2 linked regions of the Danio rerio genome follow. The protein of the gene in region 1 purifies or fractionates together with the protein of each later gene. This does not show direct contact. Links are inferred from orthologs where the notes say so. Each region holds a gene or a part of one and is shown on either strand. Other genes may lie near its edges.

Region 1 (4,199 bases):
CTAAAATTATTAAGCTCGGCTGATCTGCGTCCTAACGGAACAACCCTGACAGATCACAGCTTCTTCTGTTCACAGTCGCTGTTTTGGGTGTTCCCCGGCTCCTCCCTACACTGGGCGTTCAATCTGGATCCTCTGAGCCAGACTAGTGGGACCCGGAGCCACAGGCGAGCAGAGATAACAGATCACACTAAAAGGTGACCTTCTCCCTTTTTTTTTTGGCCTAGCCTAGAACTCCCACCTAGCAGCGATACTTGGAACAAAACGTTTTGCTCAGTCCGCAGGTCCCCTGGGTGGTTTGCTGCTGTAATGGAAAGTCTCTATGTACGCGCTCAGACAGAGTCATTTGCACACGGTGACTGCTGGGAAAGCAGCGGGCTGATGCTCGTGGCTGATGCTGTGCAGCCTGATCTCAGTGCTGTCCGTAGGGGGCGCAGTGCTCTGCATCCAATCGTGGTTGATGATGTCCTCAAAAGACGGCCGATCAGCAGGGCGGAGGGCCAGGCACCACTTGATAAGCTGCTGACATTCTGTAAAAGAACAGGATGTTTGATTAGCTCTGCTGTAAAGCCATAAAACTGCTTAAAGGTGGCGCCGTGTGATTGAGTGTGTCTCACCTGTGGAGATTCTCCTCCTGAACAGCACCTGTCCTCGCACGATCTCTTCGTCCTGCTCAAAGGGGATGTCCCCGCAGACCATATCGTACAGCAGAATGCCGAGAGACCAAACAGTGGCGGATCGACCGTGGTAGCGGTGAAATTTGATCCACTCTGGAGGACTGTAAACACGAGTGCCTGATGGGAGAACAACAAAAAAGTACAACACATAAGCATATAATCAGAAACAAACCCTCATGTGAACTTTGAAACAAACAAACCCTCATATAACCTTTCATTTTAGGATCCACTAAAGTAACCAAACACTGTAGTAAGAGGTGCGGCAGGAAAAGGTGTGCCATGTTTGAACATTATTGTTGTGGCGCAACATTACTGTGTACAGTCATGCGCTTGGGAGCGTGAGGGTAGGTGTGTGCATGTGGAGAAAACTGGTTGCCATGTGACTTGTGTTTACAAACTTTGAGTTGTAACAACTCCAGTTCCCACCGGAGGGGGCGACAAAACCAAACTCAACGAACTGCGTTTCCCCCCAAAGCAACGTTATACAAAAAAATAAACAAATCATCACGTTGGTCGATTTATTAAGCTTGACAAGGGTTGTGAACGACAAAAGGGGGTCAAGATACGCATTTCTAAAATGAGAAACGGCAGATTTGCTTAATATATGTGGTTTAAAACGCTTCTACATATAAACACACACCCTTTCAAGCTTGACAGAATTTCTAAATCAAACAACCATCAAGCGCCATCGAATTTACAACTTACAACATGGATTAAACCATTTTAGCGTGGATGTGTTTTGTTTACAAACCTCGCACTCGATGTATTTTGATATTTGTATACATTTTTATACATTTAAACATGTATACAGTATTTACATGAGAGCAGGCAAGCCTGTATTTGACGTTACACTCCCCAACCCTCTAATTCCGTGACCGTGGGAATCCCACCTTGAAGGTCATGCAAATGGCTCTTACCGTCGAAATCAGTGTAAACGGTGTCTTTCAGCAATGCTCCTGATCCGAAGTCGATGAGCTTCAGATCGCCGGTTCGCAGGTCGATGAGAATGTTCTCGTCTTTGATGTCGCGGTGAACGACGCCGCTGTTGTGGCAGTGACGCACCGCTTCCAGAACCTGGCGGAAAAAGTTCCTGGCCAGCTCCTCCGGTAACGCGCCCTTCTCCGTGATGAAATCAAACAGGTCCTTGACGACCTCCGGTCTTTCCATGACGATTATGAAGCTGTCCGGTCGCTCGTACCAGTCCAGCATTTTGATCACGCCACGGAATCCGGTCCCGACCTTCTTTAACAGGACGATCTCCATAGGGACGCGCGCGCCATTGGGCTGGAAACGGAGGACATGCTCGTTTAACTGACGCTGTCATTTATTATTTATAGGCGACATTTACACATACACATAACATGAAGATAATCTATTTAAATTACTCACCAGTTCTCCCCATTCGGTCACACGATCTTTTGCAACATGCTTGATGGCAACCTAGAAAAAAATAATAATAAACAAATCATTAAACAATGAAGCGATGCTGCATATAGAATGTTTAAATATGTTACAAAGACGTTTTATATTCATTCTAGACGTCCACGCTTATGTAAACAAAAATCCTCCATTGAGGGAACCTACCGGCGCGCCATCGGCGATCCGTAAACCCGCATACACCGTCCCGAAACCACCGCTTCCAAGCACTGTGCCGACTTGATACACTTTGTCGAAGGGCTCTTTCTCCTTAACTGTCGATAAAACATTTGATAGTTTCATAAGAATGGATAAAAGCCACAGAATTATATAATAATTGCAAATCTGACGCACGCGCTATTCCCAGCACTGTCTGCTGACGTGAACGAGCGCCCAACACACACAAACACACACACAAATGAGCACGAGAATAACCGTCCTCTAACCTTGAAGCTGGATTTTCGCCGGCATGTCCACGGTTGAAATGTGAGCAAATGTGTTGAATTTTGATAGAAGCATGTTATAATCCAAAATGCGAGTCCTTCGTGAGGGTTATTCCAATGTGGAGGTCGAAAGCCGTCGTGTTGAGATGGATGTAGGGAAGGTCTAAGCGAGGGATCCGATCTAGAAGCTTGTAGAAATCCCTTCTCATCGAGGCACGGCGGGTTTGGATTCCCAACACGAACTTAAGACGGCCGCGCGAGGTCTATTCCAGTTTGGAATATAAAACTTACAATATAAACAAACGATTAATAGCACGAAGATAAATATTATTTGTCTGAGGTGCGCGACGAACACAAACACCCGGCTTTCTAAAGCGTGAGGGAGGGGCAGAAGCCGTTATATACCAGTAGTAAAAGGGAGGGGTGAAGGTGAGTACGTCAGCAATAGCTCGTCCCACAAACAAGCCTCAGCCAATGAGTAATGCGCCAGCCTCCGCAGAAAAAGGTCAATCAAATATGAAAATAAAGGAAAACGTAGACGTGGCGGGAATCAAAACGCGCCAAATTGTCCAGGCTTTTTTGAGGGCGTTCAACCGGCGTGGGGGCAGACATGGAAAATGATTCACATGGCAGTGTGTATTAAACAACATCGACGACACGAAAAACCTGACGCAGATTCAAAACATTAATTCAGAGAAGTGAGAAGAGTACAGCCTATTACAAAAATAGATCCACACATCATAGGATATACATTAAAATGTCGCAAATGTAAGTATTTATTATATCTGATGGAAAATCTTTACATTTTATTTAATCATAAAATTATATTGAATTCAGAGCATTTACATTATATATATGCTGCAGTTTCAGTAAAGAACAACACTAAACAATAAGTAAATGAATAAGTAATATAACAATTATTTACATCCTTGTCGTCAGGTGGATTTATAGTGCAAATCATAAGTTTTATATATCTTTATAAAAAATAATAATTTCTTGTGCAGAAATTATGATGCAAAATCAACGTGTTTGCAGCTCGTCTTCATGCAAATGATGAAAGGTAACAAAGTTAAGAGAATTCTGCAGCGTTACTACAACCCACGTTTACCTTCTCACGAAACATCAAGACAAGTGTTTTGTTTGTTTTGTTTCAGTCATGTGAAGTAGGTCTTCAAAGTGTATACGGAGACCGCATGCACTGCATTACCTCATTAATCTCAAATTAGCGCGCAAAGTTTTTTTTTCTCCAATTGGCGGGCAACAGGCTTTATTTAAACTGAGAACAATGCCGGTCGCTATGGAAATGAGGCGCATACCAGGCATTCTTTCAAATTGGGTGGCCGGTTTTAAACTCGGCGGCAGGATGTGGGAAACTTGAGATAAAAGACTTCAAGTCCCTTCCCCCACGTCTCTTGTCCTCGCTTTCCCGCCCAGATTATTGTTTGAATGCCACTTGCTCTCCCCGTCTAATGTATTTTCCCCGCCCTTTTGGTAAAAGGCCTAAACATAAACAAAGTAAATGTAAACCTATATTACACCTGTTTTATGGTCACTATATGCATCTTTACTGACTGGTCAGACACCACGGACACACAGTTATTTATGAACCTGTCAGTTTTGAGATTTGGGCTTTTCATAAAGTCATTTTTTTACATAAAAAAATAAT
Region 2 (4,132 bases), on another chromosome or scaffold:
AACAAGATTCAGCGATGCAGAGGTGCAGTAGGTAGTGCTGACGCCTCACAGCAAGAAAGTCGCTGATTCGAGCCTCGGCTGGGTCAGTTGCCGTTTCTGTGTGGAGTTTGCATGTTCCCCCTGCGTTCGCGTGGGTTTCCTCCGGGTGCTCCGGTTTCCACCACAATCCAAAGACGTGCGGTACAGGTGAATTCGGTAGGCTAAATTGTCCATAGTGTATGAGTGTGTGTGAATGAGTGTGTGTGGATGTTTCCCAGAGATGGGTTGCGGCTGAAAGGGCATCCGCTGTGTAAAAACGTGCTGGATAAGTTGGCGGTTCATTCCGCTGTGGCGACCCCGGATTGATGAGGGGACTAGGTCGAAAAGAAAATTAATTCTTAAACAAGATTATTTGACATTTTTGTATTTGTGTATACACAGATTTTCAGCATTATGATCTCAATACACCCGTTGACATCTAGTAGAGTAGAAATTACATTTTATGCAAAACAATTTTAACAAAAATCAAAAAACTAAATCTCAAGCGTATCTTGCTATTTTAATTCTATTTTTAGTATTTATTCAAATTTAAATTAGTTTTTTTAAAGTAACATTCTCAGGGCACTGCATGAGTTACACTCTCAGGGCTGGGTTGCGGCAGCAAGAGTAAAACATATGCCAGAGTAATTGGTGGTTCATTCCGCTGTGGCAAATAAAGAAACAAGGAAAGTGAGTGAGTGACAACCTTTTTTAAAAATCAGTTTAAAAAAATGTAGTCCCCATGAACCAGAAGCTACGATTTAAGCTTTTTTTTGTAATGTGACGTAGTTCCTAGAGAAACGGGATAAAAATGACAAATTACGATTTTTTTTTCTTAATGACATGCACAGATGAATTGTTCACCGCAAAACTAGCAATGTGAGCTGATAAAATCATTTGATAAGTTTTAATTTCACGGGGATTTAAATTTCTTAATGAACACAACCATAATAATATATAAATGTGTTATTTTAGAATGTAAAAATATTCTGAGAGAAATAACTGCAAGTTATAAATTGTTAAAAATAATCCAGTGTTGGGTTGCAGCTGGAAGGGCATTCGCTGCATGAAGCATATGCTGAATAAGTAGGTGGTTTATTCCGCTGTGGCGACCCCAGATTAATAAGGGGACCAAGAAAAGAAACAAAAATGAATGAATAATAATCATTTAACAGTTTCAAAAAAATAAATATCTGCCTTCTTTAGCAACTCAATGTAGTTCGGCGGTTGCCCAGTAAGCGGCAGTAAATACAGATTCAAATCTGATCCTCACTCAGTCAACTTTCATAGAAGAAGCCGATCGCGTAGTCGAGCTCTTTAGAAGAGTTTATCCAAATCTATCACAGTACACAACTTATCCGTATAATTGAAAGGTTTTGCCCTTGAAAACAGGTGAGAAACTCACTTTACAATTTTTATAAAACCGAAAAATTAGCTTATAAGCCCGTTGCGTGCTGTACATGTAGCTGGCTAACGTTAGCATATTCCTTTCTAACGTTCAATACTTATTCTTCCAAAACATTCTTCGTATTCATGCTTCAGACGCCCAATAACGCTTCAAGAGTTACCTGTATATTTAAAACCATCATGACAACTAACAAAGCGTCTTTGAATCTCATTTCAGCTGGTCAAAATGGCATTAGACTGGGTTGGCAATCTTGTTTCAATCCATTGTGGACCAACTCTAGGAGTCTACCAAGGGGAGATTTCTTCAGTGGATCAGACCAGTCAGACCATCTCTCTCAGAAACCCCTTCCACAATGGAGTCAAATGCACTGTGCCTGAGGTTACCTTCAGGTAAATTATAAAAGAGAGCTGTGTTATTATGTCTTTTATCATTTTTACTGATGTTTTTAGGATGGATACTTTCGTCTCATTTGTCTTAAGCCACACTTGTGTGGTATTTTGAAATCCCTTTATGTAATTTGAGTTGTAGAATTTTGTTAATGTTTGTTAGATTTTTGTTAATGAATATATAAGAATCATTTATTCAACCTCTCTTTTTTTCTAAACCTGCATAAGTTCCCTTTTTCTGTTAAACACAAATTAAGTTAATTTGAAAATAATAATAATGTGGTCGTTATTGACTTATAGCAGAGGGAAACTTTGGAAGTCAGTGTTAACCAATCATTTTGGAAGTGAAAAGTTAAAAAGAAGTCAAAAAGCCTCGTTATGCTATTTAAAAATATTACAAAACCTTTCCTTTTTTATGAATTAGTGGTGTGAATAGACGCTTACTTCCGGAGATGGGAAGTAACAAAGTACAAATACATTCGTTACTGTACTTAAGTAGATTTTTCTGATATCAGTACTTTACTCCACTACATGTTTTTTCTGACAACTTTTTACTTTTACTTCTTACATTTTTTTACACAGATATCTGTTTAAAAATGCTTAACCCTTTTGTCACCTTCCGATCATATTGCACAGGATTTCTCTGGTCTTTTATTGTAATACAGGGAAATATTGTGATTTTTTTGTAAAGATTTGTACATTTAGTACTTAAACAATCAAACACTTTATTAAAAAAAAACTTATGCATTTGTTTCCTTTATTTACTTTATAAAAACACTGAATTAACAGGTTATGTATGAGAACTACTTTTTAAAGAGAATAAAGCAGCTTTAGCCTAATGGAAAAAAATTGTTTGCAGTCAAATATGATGAGCCTTGTGTATATATATATATATATATATATATATATATATATATATATATATATATATATATATATATAGGACAGAATACTGTGTAAAATGTAATTATTTATAAAGATATACAGACCTACAGAATTATTTTAGAGTGTATGAACATAAATAGCAGCTGTTGTTTTTGATCTAACAGCCACAAAAGTACATGATGAACGCTGTGAATTTGAGTCAGGATGATCATACATGAGCAGACTTTTAGAGCAATGTTGTTGCAAAGTATAGGGTATATGCCGAAGCATGCTAATAGGACTTTGAATTTGCCAGTAACCTGAGTTAAACGCTTCCGGTCAACTGTACATGCCGGCCGATTCTGATGGGCACGTACGAGTAAACGGCTTTTTGTCTCGTTTTAAGCTTGATCAACTAAAAGAATGCCAAAGTTTATTTAACTGAATGTATTTTAATTACATTACATCATCAATGCTGTAAAAGGAACCATATACGTTGGGAAAAAAAAAATTACAATAACAGGTCACCTTAAGTTTATCAGTATAATAAAAACACCAGCTCGGCACATACCCTATTACAGGGTGTGATGCTGCTTTCATAAAATTGCCAACAAAAATTTTACATAAGAATTAGAAATGTAAGTTAGTTTATTAATGTATCGATAGGATGTGAGGACTAATTGCTTTTTATGGTACTTACTATCCTTAAACTTAGTTGCTGAATTATACAGGGTCGCCACAGCGGAATGAACCACCAATTATTCCAGCATATGTTTTACACAGTGGATACCCTTCCAGCGGCAACCCAGCACTGAGAAACTTATACATTACTGCCAGTTTAGTTACCTATTATTCACCTATACCGCATGTCATTGGACTGTGGTTGAAACGGGTACTTTTTACTTTTTTGCTTTTGTAAATTTTTGAGGCGCTACTTTTTTACTTTTACTTGATTACAAAAGTGTAGTCAGTACTTCTACTTTTTAAAAAATTGTACAAAAGCACGCACATCCCTCTTAACTGGGTGCTCAGCCAAAAAAACGCAAAAGGTGCAAATTAAATATTAATAAAAGGCGGCAACACCAAATCTCCAAAAATACTAATTTATTCAATTAAAAAAAGCTGACAGAAAGCATGTAAAAGGTTAAAGCCTGGATTGGTTTTTCTTTACAGAAACAAATCCTCCTTTACACATTCCTCAAAGCAGCTCAAATTAACAGTATTACCAATTCTGGATTATGGGGATGTAATTTACAGATGAGCTTCAAAAACTCTTCTTCTTAAACTGAATGTTATTTACTATGCAGCAAATAGTTTTGTTACTCTTGCGCCATTTAATATTCATCACTGTCAGCTGTATTCTTTACTGAATTATTCTTTGCTTCAAATTTAACAAATTCATTGGTTTCTGTTAATTTTCAAAACTCTTATTGGGAAAAACACCACTATATTTATT

Evidence for each region. Proteins that work in one complex are often made in the same cells at the same time.
Region 2: the proteins of pim1 (region 1) and edc3 purify together in Homo sapiens (affinity purification with mass spectrometry; 3 studies listed by BioGRID and IntAct, counting the BioPlex papers as one, with this or other methods). This does not show direct contact. The link is inferred for Danio rerio from reciprocal best matches to the Homo sapiens genes PIM1 and EDC3.

What each region holds. Positions count from the first base shown.
Region 1 is NC_133183.1:11,870,899-11,875,097, reverse strand, and holds the start of pim1 (serine/threonine-protein kinase pim-1), read right to left. Parts: upstream 2,841-4,199; 5' UTR 2,610-2,840; coding exon 2,537-2,609; intron 2,366-2,536; coding exon 2,259-2,365; intron 2,115-2,258; coding exon 2,064-2,114; intron 1,959-2,063; coding exon 1,592-1,958; intron 792-1,591; coding exon 615-791; intron 528-614; coding exon 340-527; 3' UTR 1-339. UniProt on the Homo sapiens protein: Proto-oncogene with serine/threonine kinase activity involved in cell survival and cell proliferation and thus providing a selective advantage in tumorigenesis.
Region 2 is NC_133200.1:21,947,007-21,951,138, reverse strand, and holds the start of edc3 (enhancer of mRNA-decapping protein 3), read left to right. Parts: upstream 1-1,299; 5' UTR 1,300-1,410; intron 1,411-1,642; 5' UTR 1,643-1,651; coding exon 1,652-1,815; intron 1,816-4,132. UniProt on the Homo sapiens protein: Binds single-stranded RNA. Involved in the process of mRNA degradation and in the positive regulation of mRNA decapping. May play a role in spermiogenesis and oogenesis.